Lytechinus pictus: one gene and its partner. The protein of the gene in region 1 interacts with the protein of each later gene in a biochemical or structural test. Links are inferred from orthologs where the notes say so. Each region holds a gene or a part of one and is shown in the gene's direction. Other genes may lie near its edges.

What was found.
Region 2: the proteins of DNA polymerase iota-like (region 1) and DNA polymerase eta-like interact in far-western blotting, tested with the Homo sapiens proteins (2 studies listed by BioGRID). The link is inferred for Lytechinus pictus from reciprocal best matches to the Homo sapiens genes POLI and POLH.

What each region holds. Positions count from the first base shown.
Region 1 is NC_087249.1:20,891,737-20,898,724, forward strand, and holds the start of DNA polymerase iota-like, read left to right. Parts: upstream 1-3,958; 5' UTR 3,959-4,325; coding exon 4,326-4,340; intron 4,341-5,795; coding exon 5,796-5,955; intron 5,956-6,988. Other genes in the region: stomatin-like protein stl-1, read right to left, coding at 404-536, 1,087-1,145, 1,423-1,522, 2,611-2,748, 3,755-3,811. UniProt on the Homo sapiens protein: Error-prone DNA polymerase specifically involved in DNA repair. Plays an important role in translesion synthesis, where the normal high-fidelity DNA polymerases cannot proceed and DNA synthesis stalls. Favors Hoogsteen base-pairing in the active site.
Region 2 is NC_087251.1:39,639,591-39,646,927, reverse strand, and holds the start of DNA polymerase eta-like, read left to right. Parts: upstream 1-4,270; 5' UTR 4,271-4,327; coding exon 4,328-4,452; intron 4,453-6,385; coding exon 6,386-6,520; intron 6,521-7,201; coding exon 7,202-7,337. UniProt on the Homo sapiens protein: DNA polymerase specifically involved in the DNA repair by translesion synthesis (TLS). Due to low processivity on both damaged and normal DNA, cooperates with the heterotetrameric (REV3L, REV7, POLD2 and POLD3) POLZ complex for complete bypass of DNA lesions.

The sequences.
Region 1 (6,988 bases):
TCCTCAGCCTATCAAAAACAAGGAAAATGTCAGATTTGTTAAGTGTCAGTTGACAAGTGTCGATGAACGCATCCGTGATATCAAATATGCTGTTAAAATGGGCAAAATATTAGTAATCATCACATTTTGTGCCCTCTCATGCATAAGTGGGAGTCTCACTCGTTCAATACGTGTACAGGATCTCTTCTGGGAACATGTCTATTTACATATGTTACACAACATTCAATGATAATTTGCTACTGAAAAATCAAATTAAACAATTTGAATAACTTAAAACAGTATTATGAAGAGGGATTCTCAGGACAAATCAAATTGGCTCTTCTCAGTAGCTTACAAATGTAACAGTAGCAGGTGACGTGATAAATAATAAAAAGTGTTGTGTAAAGGGGTTCTCATGACTTACCCACTATATTGATGTTTAAAGATTCTCTTTCCTTAAAGACATGATCAAGAGATATTTTACCAATCTCTGATCTCATTGTTGTCTGTGCTAGCTGTGTGACGGCATACTCAGGATCCTCAACACCATAGCTGGCCTAGAATGACAAGTTTATTTTCAAGGAATTTTAAAAGAATAACACAATTCACAATACAATATCAATAAAATTACAATTTTATCAATGTCACTATTTATATTTCCGGACATTCATTTTATTTCTTAGTGTATAATACGCATTGTAGTAATGCTGTATTTTTGCAAAGCTGTGAAAAAAAAAAAAAGATTTAAATAGGGTGTGATTGATAATTTTGAGAGAGTGACTGTGAAATAAAAAATAATTTTGCAAGCACGCCATTAAAAAAAAAAGTTATCTGGAAAGAAATATAGCAAAAATCTGCGACACAGAAGCAAACTTGGGAAAAAGTCATATTTTGATAGAACGCCATGCTTACTTTCTTATACATGTACAAATAAGCACTAATTTCATTACATACTAACAGAATTAATTTTGTAATCATTAACACAACTGGAATTTATTTGTAATCTACAGTCACCATACAGATCAAGAGATCAAAATGACTTGTCAATACGTAAGTAAAATACCCCAATCTTTTAATCATCAATATTTTCAATAAGTAAGATATTACCTTGTACGCATCCATGACTCTTAGATACAGAACTCCATCTATCCTTAGTGTCACATTATCTTTATATAAAATAAAAGGGAAATAAATAAAATAGGATTAAGTGTTCGCTTTTTGAATAGCTATCAACGTTTCGCCCAGTTAATGATAAAAATCAGAAGTTCAATTATACACACTTTTTAAGTAGATTGTAAATTTGTTACAACTCCATGCAACTATAATCTTCAAGAACTCTTGTCTTGTTATTCTTATTTTGAAATCTTTGATCCTGAAAACATATATATCCAACCAAGTTGCCAATTATTGTATGATATAGTAAGATAAAACAATAAGTCTTACCATGAGTCACTGCACTTTGCTCTGGAATGTCAATAGCAATTTCTTTCAAACTCTGAACATACTTGATCTTGTCAAGCACTGGAATCAGTAGATTCAATCCCTGCAAAGAAAAACATTCTTAAAATGATTTCTTGTAAATAAATGTTGCCAGTGAACCATTCAGCAGCCAATAAATCACAATGGGAATTGCAGTTCAAAATATAGAGCTTGGGCCAAAAGTTTTAATAAAAAAAATTGATGTACTTCACTGATCAATCTATCACCTGACCAAACCCTTAGTGTCATCAGCAATGTGTTCTTGATTTAAAATAGCATTCTTTTTTAAATTTCACAATAGAATTATCCCAGGATATGAAGTACATACACATCTAACAACTTACTATAAAAATGTGTGCATAACTCCATAAGCTAATGCCTTAAAAACTTGTTTCTTCTCCTCTTCCTCTTACTCCTCCCATCAGCATATCCTCCTCTTCCCCTTCCCATTTCTCCACCTCTCTCAAACACCCAACTTCCTCCTTCTCTTTCGTTTTCTTCTTTTCCCGCCTCTCCTTGCATTATCTTCTCCTACCTAGCCAGGAGGCTTCTAGAGAGTAAAAATCATTTACTAACGTATGCTTACTCTCCACAAAGCCAGGAATTCCTACCTATTCATCTGCACGCACCAACCAAAAACCTGAAACTTTCGCCCCTAAGATTTCTACTTTCCTTCTAAAAGATCTAGCCCTAAATCATGTACATGGGATACAACTTCATTTCCGACATTTCTACGCTATCAATTTAATTTTTAAACAAGAATTCATCATGCGTCCGTCACGTTGGGGAAGAACAATAGGAAACAAGATGGCGGCGTAAACATCGGGCAAGTCTCTTCCGTCTTTTCGTATTTTTCTCATTTTTTTATGAATTCTTGTTTAAAAATTAAAGCGTAGAAATGTCGGAAATGAAGTTGTATCCCATGAACATGATTTAGGGCTAGATCTTTTAGAAGTAGAAATCTCGGGGGCGAAAGTTTCAGGTTTTTGGTTGGTGCGTGCAGATGAATAGGAAGGAATTCCTGGCTTCGTAAAGAGTAAGCATACATTAGTAAATGATTTTTACTCTCTAGACTAGAAGCCTCCTGGCTACTCCCACCCCCTCTCAATGTAATTATTTGGATACTAATACAAATAGGCAACAATAACTCACAGGTTGAAGAGTTTTGTAGAACCTGCCCATCCTCTCCACTACCCATGCTTCCTGCTGAGGTACAAACAGGATAACTGTGTTCACTGCACCACTTGAAACGCACCTTGCATGTTGGGTAATCACACACTGCTGAAGTCTCTGTCAATGAAAAAATTAATGTTAAGATTCAAATTTTCCACTTATGCCTAAGACATGTAAGACATAAAAATTTACACAGATTAATCTCATCTCTCACTAGAATTTAGAAATGAGGAATTAACTGAAATTAGAAATCCAACGTCAAGAATATCAAGTGACAACTTTTTTTCTCTTCAAATTTAATTGTCTTTAAAGATTTAACGTTACTTATAATTACAAAACATTCATCATGTTCATAAAATGATACGGGCCCTAGGCTAAAGGACAAAACCTGATGCAAGCATTAGCCATTGGGTTTGAAATTTGAGTCATTTTAGAATTAGTAGAGGTCTAACTTTTTACCGGTATTCACAGTTTACTTTAAGTTTAAGTTTCACCGAGCTAGTAAAAATTCTAAAATTGCGATTGTAAAATAAAAATTTGCGATGAAAATCATGAACCTCGCAAATAACTGTAAACTTTGCCAAAAACATTGCGGCAAAACAAAAGTTTGAAACAAAAATCGTGAAATTTACTACTATTTGCAAAGCTTGCAATGAAAATCGCGCACGGGGCGAGAGCCGATAGCTATAGTATACCCAGTTGTTGTGTGTCCGGACAGGTTGTGTGTCCGGACGATCAATTTTAGAAAGTCATTTGGAAAAAATTACAAGCGAAGTTTCATCAAATTTTAGTAAAAAAATTTAGAAAATATTATAGAGAACAAAATAGAAGATGATTACAACTATTGAATTCATATTTTTAGTGTAATCTTAAGACAAAAAAGAAGGCTTCAAAAATATAAAGTGTCCGGACACCCGATCCCCCATCCTATAGGAGTAGAGCTGTTTAGCAGCTACATGTAGCTAGCACTGGCCATCGCCACTAGCCTCAACGCCCCGGCTGCGCTGGGCGCTTGAACGGCACCCGGCCCAGCTCAGCAGGCAGATGACACAACACACGCTCGCTCCACAAGTCCACAACCATCGCTCAGGATTCATAAAAAATTGCAGTAATTTTACATTACCTGTGAAGTTCGTTGAAGAGCCCCGGTCCTCCTTATCATTGTCGTTATAGGTAACATCTTGAAATTGATATTTATGCAAGGATATTCACTTTGTCTTTAATAATAATATGATGAAATCTCAAAAATTCTTAATCTTACACAATACAAGACATAGTACATGCATGCCCATTCAATCATGTACGGTATGGTGGTTGTAATTGTACTAATGAGAAAGAAAATTTGACTTTGGTTTGATCCATTGGAATTAAATTTGCCAATCTTTTATCAATATTTTCATGAATACTGAACTCACCCTGAAGAAACTTACGCCAAAGGGCAATTTTATTTTTAGGTCGCTTTTCATGTTGCTGATTTCAGATTTTAAGGATATTGGCTAGTTTTTGAGATAATGACCTTCACGAAGTATGGACACACGCGAAGTTTGGTCTTTGGACTCACTGCCATACAGCTTTTTGCAAGATAGCATATTTCAGTAATAATAATGCGACATTTGCTCATGTGACAATTGACTTGTTAATTCTGTTAAAACTGGCTTTGGTCTTTGGACATGTTGGATTAATGCACTCATTCAATGACCTGGATATGGGTACGTTAGATCTACTAGTACTAGTTCGTTTTACGGAGGATGTTCAAATGCAATCACCTTTATTTTGTACTTGTAGTGACCACCTTTTTTTCTTTTTCTTTTTCTTTTAATTGCTTGTCAAATTTAAACTTCCGGTAGCACCTCCTCTAAAAAATCGTTCCCAGGAATGCAGATATTTTGATGGGGGGGGGGGGGGGAGTGGGCATGAAGAGTCACCAACAATGATTGAAGGTTATGTCATGTCTTTTCTTTCCTAAACAATTAACATTTGAAGTAAAAAAAAAAAGGCTTCTTTTTCATAACTTTCAAGTTTCAAATTTAAATTCAATTTGTAATCTTTGATTTCCAGTTTGCTCCAATTTTTATCTCACTTATTTCATACCCCTTTCATAAACCCAATAAAACCCAATTATGCTGCTAATAGCAGCATAATTTGGTCGTAAAATCCGAGGAGGACAAGAGTTATCCGCATTATTCTGATGCTGCTATTATCCGCATAATAGCGGCATCGGGACAAGATTTTGAGTTTATGAACATATTTCCAAATAATGCGGATAATTGCCATGGTGCGGTCACAAGGTCACCCTTTTCCAACACAACCGCATCGGAGGGCGCGTGTCCAGTTGTCATGACGATTATCCGCCTTTTTCAGGACGGGCGCTCGTAAAAATAATGCGGATAATTTTCGGAGTTTGTGAACGCAATTTTTATTGAATTATCCGCATTACTCTTAGGCGGCTAATTGATGGAGGATAGGTTTTATTGGGTTTATGAAAGGGGTATAAGATAAAACTTATGACTAAAACCAGTTTGGTTACAGTACTTGAAGTGACTTAATTCTTCCAGTTACATTTTACATTACAAGAAGTTTGAAAAGGAAATGAAAGTTATTCTACTGTATTAAGGGTTCTGGAGTCTAGATCTAAGAAATGAACTTAAATTGCTTGCACATTATTATGAGGAGGAGGGAAGGTTATTGAATTAAACTGATTCAAATCAGGTGAAAACAATTGCAGCAATTAAGATGGAGATTTCATTTGGATTCTGGTCCTGGTTCATTTTTACTTTAAATGTTACTTGTTGCAATATTCCTAAATTGCAACTTCTTGGAAATGAAGTCATTCATAACAAATATATTTTGTTAGCATGAATAATATTTCAATAAATTGCCAAATTTTTTGTGTAAAAAAAACATTGGTTCAAAATATTATAGAGTTGAAGACCATATTTACCTGTGTGATATCATTCACACTAACTAGTATGACATTTGGTATAAATAATGAACTTTCTCCCGTGATGATAGAAATCCTAATTTGAAAAAAAAATACTGGTAATTATCTGTATTCTCAAGACTCAATTATCTACAGCTATGTGGTCTATTATTGAATTGAATAATGGTAGAAAGACTGCCAGGGGCATTCCACCTGTTGCTATTTATTATCTCTCTTTTCCCAGTCACATAGATCAAATATGGAAGGGAGATGGGAAGAACAGGATGACACTGAAGATGAAGCACTCAATGAGGAAGATGACATTGATTGGAGGATGCCGTCAGATATTGGTTCACCCAGCACCAAAGCCTCTTCTTTGAAAACACAATTGTCATCTTTAACTGGTAATTAATCAACAGTAGCTTTTAAAGTACTACTTCCTAGTCATCAGATTTCATTTTTTCCTTAGGTATGGTTTTCAAATAAATAGAATTAGAAAATGTATTATCAAGTTGACCTCTTGTTATCACTTTACAAAATTACTATGAGACTATTAAAGTAAACGTATGCTTTAATGGCTCTGGGAGCAAAATTTCTGTGTTGCTCATATTCATCATGGACAATGAACTATCTTGTATATATTTATGATATTTTTTTTTATTATAGACAGACCAAGACAGTAATACCAAAATGACATTTATGTGTTGAGGTGTTTATAATGTTTTCTCACTTTTTGTAAAGGAGAAAACATTGGACCAAAAATCAGGTCCCCTGTGAGCTCTGCTCTAGAAGATCCATAAAAATAGAGGATTTTTCATAGGATTTAGGTAGCAACTTTCCTGGGAGAGTTGTCCTGTTGAGACTCATTTATATGAAAAGAGTCGATTTGCATAAAGTAGAAGAAAACAACTCTTAGAAAATTTCATCAAAATCGGATGTAAGATAAGAAATTTTACGATTCATTTTTCACTAAACAGTTATATACTCAACATAGTGATATTTATGAGAGAGTAAATGATGTCACCCACTCACTAATTATTATTTTATTATATGAATTATCTAATATTTAAGTTTTTGCAGATTTGACACTGAAGAAACTCTTTATCAAAGTACTTGTAATTTTAGGGGAAAATCAAACTTAGTTACAAAGGAGAAAAAAAGTTAAAATATTCATATTTTATACGATAAAATACAAAAGAAATAGTGAGTGGGTGATGTCATCAATTTCATCATTTGCTTAATGACCAGGATGTGTATATTACCTTTTTTTTAATTAAGCAATTTTTTTTAAATTTCATATCTCTTTTATCTTTAATACTGACATCCAATTTTTATGAAGATTGAGCAGAGGAAGTTTATTTTCTCTTATTATTCAAGTAAACTATTTGTTGAGGTGGACTTTCCCTGTAAATGAGCACTCTATAGATATAAGTTATT
Region 2 (7,337 bases), on another chromosome or scaffold:
CTGTACGCTAGTGTTATTGGAGGAAGCGATATGGGGTTTAACTTTAATATCTAACATGGCTGGCTTGCATGTCTTCATTACTGATGCAAGAAATAGGATGTGGTTGGCGACTGGGGCGATGGGGGGCTGGGGTTATTAAAGCACTTTCCTCTGCTCTTCAAAGCCCCCCAAATAAATAAGAATAAATGTCTTACATAAATAAATGAATAAAAAGTGGGAAAATAAAGACCTGATAAGTCCAAAAGCAAAGGAAACTCTCATTCACACCTCATTGAGACCTCATTGATACACACACACTCTATTCAAGTACACAACCGCCCCCCCCCCAAAAAAAAAAAGGGGGGAGGGGTATTTTACCTCCTTGAGTGGATAATACTGATACCTTTCAGATATAGTAGAAAAAACTCCTCAAGAATAATGAAAAAGTGTATCTAATACAGCCCCCTAAAATTATGATGTAGACCTAACAGACGCTGATCCAGTGTTGGGGGAGGGGGGCTCTGAATGGGAGGGAAAAAGAGAGACGAATTTACCTTAAATATTGGTGAAAACCGTTTTTTCCCCTTTTTTTTTTTTTTTTTTGCTTATTGATTTTTTTGGCGGACGGATTATTGACCTTAAATTTAGGTGACAACTTTTTTTTTTTACTTGTCAAATTTCCAACGGGTAAAAGGTTTCACCTCTTTTTAAAAATCCTAGATCCTGTAGTACCACCCCATAAAATTTTAACTCTGGACTCCGCGCCTGGCTAATATAAAAGTAGCCTAGCTAAAAATAACAATATAAATATTTGTAATATTAAAAGTTGTATGATGACGGTAATAACGATAGTTAATGATATTAATAATATTGAATATAATTATGATAATAATAATATAAAAAATTTGATAATAATAATAAATTAACAATAAACTGGTGCATATCCAGTATTTTGCACCACGTGGGCTCACCAATCTGCATGCGCGAATCTGAACCAGTGGTGCGAACAACGTAGCTCACGTGCAAAAAAAATCCTTCTGGTACGAAGCTGAATTATAGGCCTACCTTTATTTCTAAATCATTTTTAAATAGAATTATAGAAATCATAATTTCTAAGATAATATTGAAATTACATTAAAAATTACACGAAGATATATTTTGAAACATTTATCAAAATAAATAATTACAATTACTACCTTAGAAAGATTTGATAAATGTGGAACCAAACGGCGGCTCTCCTATCGTTTCGGCCAAAATTTGAACCAGTCATTTGGATCTGGCGGGCCCGATCGACTATATCCGTTTTGTTTTGGCGGTACTAATGAACTAGCCGTTTTGGACCGCCGGTACCCGGTTCAATTCGCCTATGACACCGGCCATCGAAAAAGGATTTTATTTATTTGATGTTGGGCATAAACCATAAAGTAGGCTAGAGAATTAGATTTATTTGCCCCTCTGCATTTTCTTAGAACTTGTCCTCATCATTATCAATATACAGTAGTTCCTATGCATGCTTTGATTCAGACGTGTGATGGGGTTGATGGGGGGGGGGGGGGGTACTTATGATTATTTTTTAAATCTATTTTTGGTGTTAACAAAATAGGGGTCTTGATTCTACAGTTGGATGTTGCCACTTTGCTTGTATCAAATATGGTTGATAAAGATTCCTGATCATCTTCTCATGGGCGGCGAAAAGCTAAAGATTTGAATAAGGGTCACTGAGGTGATCGAGCGTTAGGTAGGGGCTAAAAGTAGGGGCTAAAGCCCCCCCCCCCCCCGGATCTGCTGCCCCAGTGAGTTCCATATACAGCTGCAAGTGGCAGTTCAAAAGGGCCGGGAGCAGGTGGGATGGCTGAAAATCTTGATTTTTTTTTTTTTTTTTTTTTTTGGGGGGGGGAGACCGATAGAGAGTGTGTCCCATGTCATGCCTGGAATGTTTATTATTATTATTATTATTATCATAATTTCTTTGTGATTAAAAAAGGAATTATACATTGAGGTCATGTCAGTTTTCATATCGAAAACTTGTATGCAGTGTAACGGACATGTAAAAACATAGCAGACGACGTTTGCAGACCTCGCGATCATCGTATGACTGGTGGTGCGGAATGTTCCATTGCGGCTTTATGGGGGAAATAGCATTACAGCGGGATAAAATGTATACACAGATAATGTTTCAGCGTTGATTCGCAATATTTTGAGTCAATTTTTATGAATTATCGTTGTTTGAACATTTAAACATCATTATAAGATGAAAGAAATAAGCAAAACTTAATTTTCAGACTTAGCTATGCAGTATTAAGCTGGGATGCACCCCTCGTATAGATAATGGACCCGTCACGAGTGTAGGTTTGCTCTTCGGACATCACTATCACAAAGAAAATCTCCTCTGATTTGATGATAAAAGTGCCCTATTTCCTTATTAACCAATCTCCATGGTTCTTTCATGAGTATTTGCCTTACAATGTGCCCTTTATTGTAATCTGGGCGGAAATTCATGATACCACCACCCACCGATGTGACGACGGATATAATCCACCCGGGTACTATAAAAATGTCCCCCAAACCCATTATCCCAATACATATTCCTGACTATGGATGGTTTTTAGTGATTTTAATGTAATAAAGTGCCATATTTCCCACCAATTGAATGTTAAAAAAATTATGGTCATCTGATAGAAGAAGTTGTTACCATTCATTTCAGGGGGGCGGAAATTCTATCTGAATCAACGCTTGTCCTTGATATACATTTGTTTGTGAAAAAAGGGTATAATGCAAGGGAATTCTGCGTGTTATAAGGGTGCGCGCGTGCAGCGAGGACCTTCTGTCCGCTAGTTTTCCATATGAATGTGCGAAATGCATCAGTCTGTTTTAATTGCTCTCAATTCCCCTTTTTGTTGGCTTTTTTCTATAAATTAATTTATCATCTGTTTAATATGATGATGACAGCTTGCCTTTTGTTTTCTCTTTTTTTTTTGGGGGGGGGGGGATATTACGCTTCAGGAGAGATAGACGGCTACAGAATGAAATTCTGTTGTCCTTATTACTTTCTTTATTTTACTTACTTTCGTTCTGTTGATATTTTTGTTTGCTTGTTTCTATACATATTTTTTTCAATTACTTTTAGTATTTCACTAAGTAAGTTAAGTTTGTTTCGTTTTTGTTTTACATTTCCTTTAGTTTTAAGACTACCCCTTCCATCTTTTGCACGGCACAAGCCATTATAAGCAGTTTGTTTTGTCTTTGTTTTACTCTTCCTCTTTGTATTGCCCTTCCACTCAGTGTGGCCAGTGCAAAAAATCCAATTATGCTAGAGGAGCAGCGAAATTATGCTAAATCGCGAAAAAAAAAAAAAAAAAAAAAGGTTATCAACCTAAAATTTTAGGAGTGGATGCATGCATGTGAACGATTTTCCTCTCTGGCGCCGTTCATTAGTTAGTAGAAATGTGAAAATTGAAAAAAACCACATGTTGGGGGAAAAAAAAATCAAAATTATGCTAAATATGCTATTATTATGCCAGATTCTTTGCTTTAAAAAGTCTAATTATGCCAAAATTATGCCAGCATAATGAATTATGCTGAAAGGGTCGAAACTTATGCCAGAAAGCATAATTATGCCAGTTCTGGCAACGTTGCTTCCACTACCACACATTTATTTATTTTTCTTTCACACATACTCAGGAACAGGCCCGGGAACAGGTTGTGTATAGTTTCCCTTTGAAGAGTTCAACATTCTCCTTATTTTCTTTCGTCACACCCAGGATCAGTTTCAGCTTTTTATCGATGGGGGGGGGGGGATATTTTCATCAACATTTTCCAGTTGTGGCCGCCGAAATATGATTTTTTAAAGGGGTCAAAGCTAACTAAATTTTCATTTTTAGAAGCAACATAGGGTATTTCATGATGGCCTGAATATAAATTACCACGCGAGCTCAAATTTTTTGATATTTTATATATTTGCCCTGAAAATTGAACATTGTGAGCAGCTTTTGTAATCATAATTGGGGTATCTATCTAACTAAACGATCCGTGTTTCCTTGATTTTGTACTCTAATCCCGACTCTAATCGTGTAATAATTCTTGTAAATATTGTGATTTTCTTGATTAAAAAAAAAAAAAATTAGATCTATATAGAAAAAGAAAGAGTCTTTGGATAATTGAACAAGCAGTTCAATCAATGTGAATAATAAACAACAGCCCGGCAATAGCCCCCTTGCTATATCTGCCTGTGGCACCCCCCCCCCCCCCCCAGCCTCAGCTCCATCAAATCGAGAATTGACATGTTGATTGAATAACAACAAAACATCGACATGGCGCGGGTAATTCATTCGGGTCGAAAGCCGAAACAATGGATAGAGTCGTTATTTTGGTTGATATGGACTGTTTCTATGTCCAAGTAGAACAAAGATGCGATCCGAACCTGAAAGGAAAACCTGCTGCTGTTGTCCAGTATAATTCATGGAAGGGCGGAGCGTAAGAACCATATTTATTAGGCCTAACTTTAGGCACATATTTTCCTAAGAATTATGTAATGTATGTAGCCCCATGTACTGAGATCGACGTATCCTGGACGTCTGAGACTGAGCTAACCCAGAGAGCTCCAGCCCGCGTAGCGGGCTGGAGCCCAGACGCTCAGTGTGCAAACGGGCATTAAGGTGAGAGTACCGTGAAGTTTGGTCAAAATAATTTTGATAATACATAATTAAAACAGAAATTAAGCACTTACCACGATTGTATGGATGATAGTCTAACGAGTGGCAGTTTCCTGACATCGAGGCACAGACTGGAACCTCAAAAAACGATCAGTTCTGTCGCGGTGGCTCTCCTTCTTTCAAAATTCATAGCAAAATGGCCGTTCGAGAGGGTGTAGGGCGCATGCGCGAATTTGACAAAGTCTATATGCGCTAGTGCTATACTAGCCTCGGTCTCGATCGGCCATTTTGTGTTGAATTCTGAAAGAGGAGAGCTACCGCGACAGAACTGATCGTTTTTTGAGGTTCCAGTCTGTGCCTCGATGTCAGGAAACTGCCACTCGTTAGACTATCATCCATACAATCGTGGTAAGTGCTTAATTTCTGTTTTAATTATGTATTATCAAAATTATTTTGACCAAACTTCACGGTACTCTCACCTTAATGCCCGTTTGCACACTGAGCGTCTGGGCTCCAGCCCGCTACGCGGGCTGGAGCTCTCTGGGTTAAGACTGAGCAAGCAATTCGCAGTGCTTGGTTACTTAGGGAGTTCTGTGGCTTTTTGAAATCTTGAAGGAATCCCAACAAATTTGGTACTATTTGAAATCTTTTGTAATAAGAAAAAGAATGGTGCTTAAATCAACTCATGATGTCAAATATTGACAGAGATATTTCTGTTTAAAAGGGAGAATGTGCAGATTTTTTTTACAGCAAAAGTAGATTTTCATTACACAAAATGCAATGACTGGGACTATATAATCCTTTTTAAAGTGCAATGCACTGCTACGCGGGGCAAGGTATGTCCTTGAATTATACATAATTTTATTCTTTAAACTTCAAAGTTTCTCATGGTATAGGACTAGGCCCTATAGGTTTCTATAGGGTTTTCCTCCTAATGGCTTCATACTTGTTTTATTAGGGTGTCTGGAGAAAAAAATTGTTTTTCTTATTTCAAGAAAATATCACATTTTCTTTGTGAATTTGAAGAGAAATGACCTTCAGACTGACAGAAATGTAACATTTTTGAAAAAAATGCAATGATTGGCTGCAAAAAAGAAGAATGAAATTAGGTAAATTTTCAGCATTTCTCTGCCATACATGTAGACTGTGTAGTTAAGAAATGGACACACACAAATCCAAATTTTTAGCTTCCGAGAGCTGTTATAAATTTATTATTAATGCCAAAAACTTGTCCATAAAGAGTCCAATAGGATTTTTTATGCTCTATCTGATGGTATGATTTTTATAAAGATTTGGAAACCAGATCACAATGAAAAATTGCGACAAAGTGAAAAAAATTGTGCAAAACAGAAATGTCATTTTCCCATAGAAAACGCATGGAGAAATGGCAATCTCAACACACACAAAAATAAAGGTTTGCAATTTATCTCTAAATCCTTATTTAAAATGATCATATAAACTTGTCCTTACTGTCAAAAGAAGCCCCTGAATTTTCTCTTTCCATACATGCCAAACACAAGTTAATAATCAATTCAGATCACATTTTTCTAGTAGCCTGAACTTCCCCGAAAAAATGTGCCATATTTTCCCCTAAATTAGCCTGTTTTATGCTGACACTTTTCAGTGTGGCTTCAGACACCCTAGTTTTATACATGGGTGCGCAGACAGATACAAATTCTGAAAGTGGCATTTTAACCCTTTTACATAGAATATAGATATTTAAATCTTATCCATATAAAATCGTTTTATTCTAGAATAATTGCAGTGAGCTATGAAGCAAGGAAGTTTGGTGTAACCCGTCAGATGCGAGGTCGGGAAGCTCGACAAAAATGTCCAGACATCCAGCTTGTTACGGTACCTGAGAAAAGGGGAAAGGCTGATCTTACAAGGTAAGCCTTCATGATCACTGCAAGTCCTATCACTTGCTGGACCCCAGTGCTTCAAAATTCCAAAATGGTAAATTTGCCATCCAACAATTAAGTCCTTGATTGTGACTGGCTCGAGAGCATTGTTACCATGGAAGTTACCATTGGTTAGCTAAGTTACCATATTAGCAACTATTTTGCAACAGGGCATTGGACCAGTCAGTCATCTAACTCTTATGACAAAGGTTGACAGGAAGTTTTAAGAATACATCTAGATTCAACTTGTTTTCTATTCCTTTACACCCTTCCAAATACTTGTCAGAATACACCACATAATATTTGTGAGGCAAGCTGTCAAAACTTGTAGCCTCCTAGGATTTTGACCAAAGAGGGATTATATATTTATATCATCTGAAAGTCAAGTTAATTATTTCAGATATATATTATTTTGATTTTTTCTATATGATAACTATAATAGATCATTATTTTTATTCAATTTGATAAATAACTATCAGAACACCTGTTAAAAATGAATTGAAAATGAGATACCTGCAGGATACATTGTCCAAGGACTACACCATCTACATTAGAAGAAACGATAGAGTGTAAATATAAGAAGACATGCCTTTTTATGAATTGATCAAATCTGTTCTTACTGATCCTCTCACAAAACCCTATAATATACCTCAATTTTTCACTCTATAGATACAGAGAAGCAGGAGCAGAAGTAATAACAGTCCTGTGCAAGTACAGCGATAGCGTTGAGAGGGCCAGCGTGGACGAGGCCTACGTTGATGTCACAGACCAGGTCCAGACAAGGCTGGCCCAGATGGAGAACCAA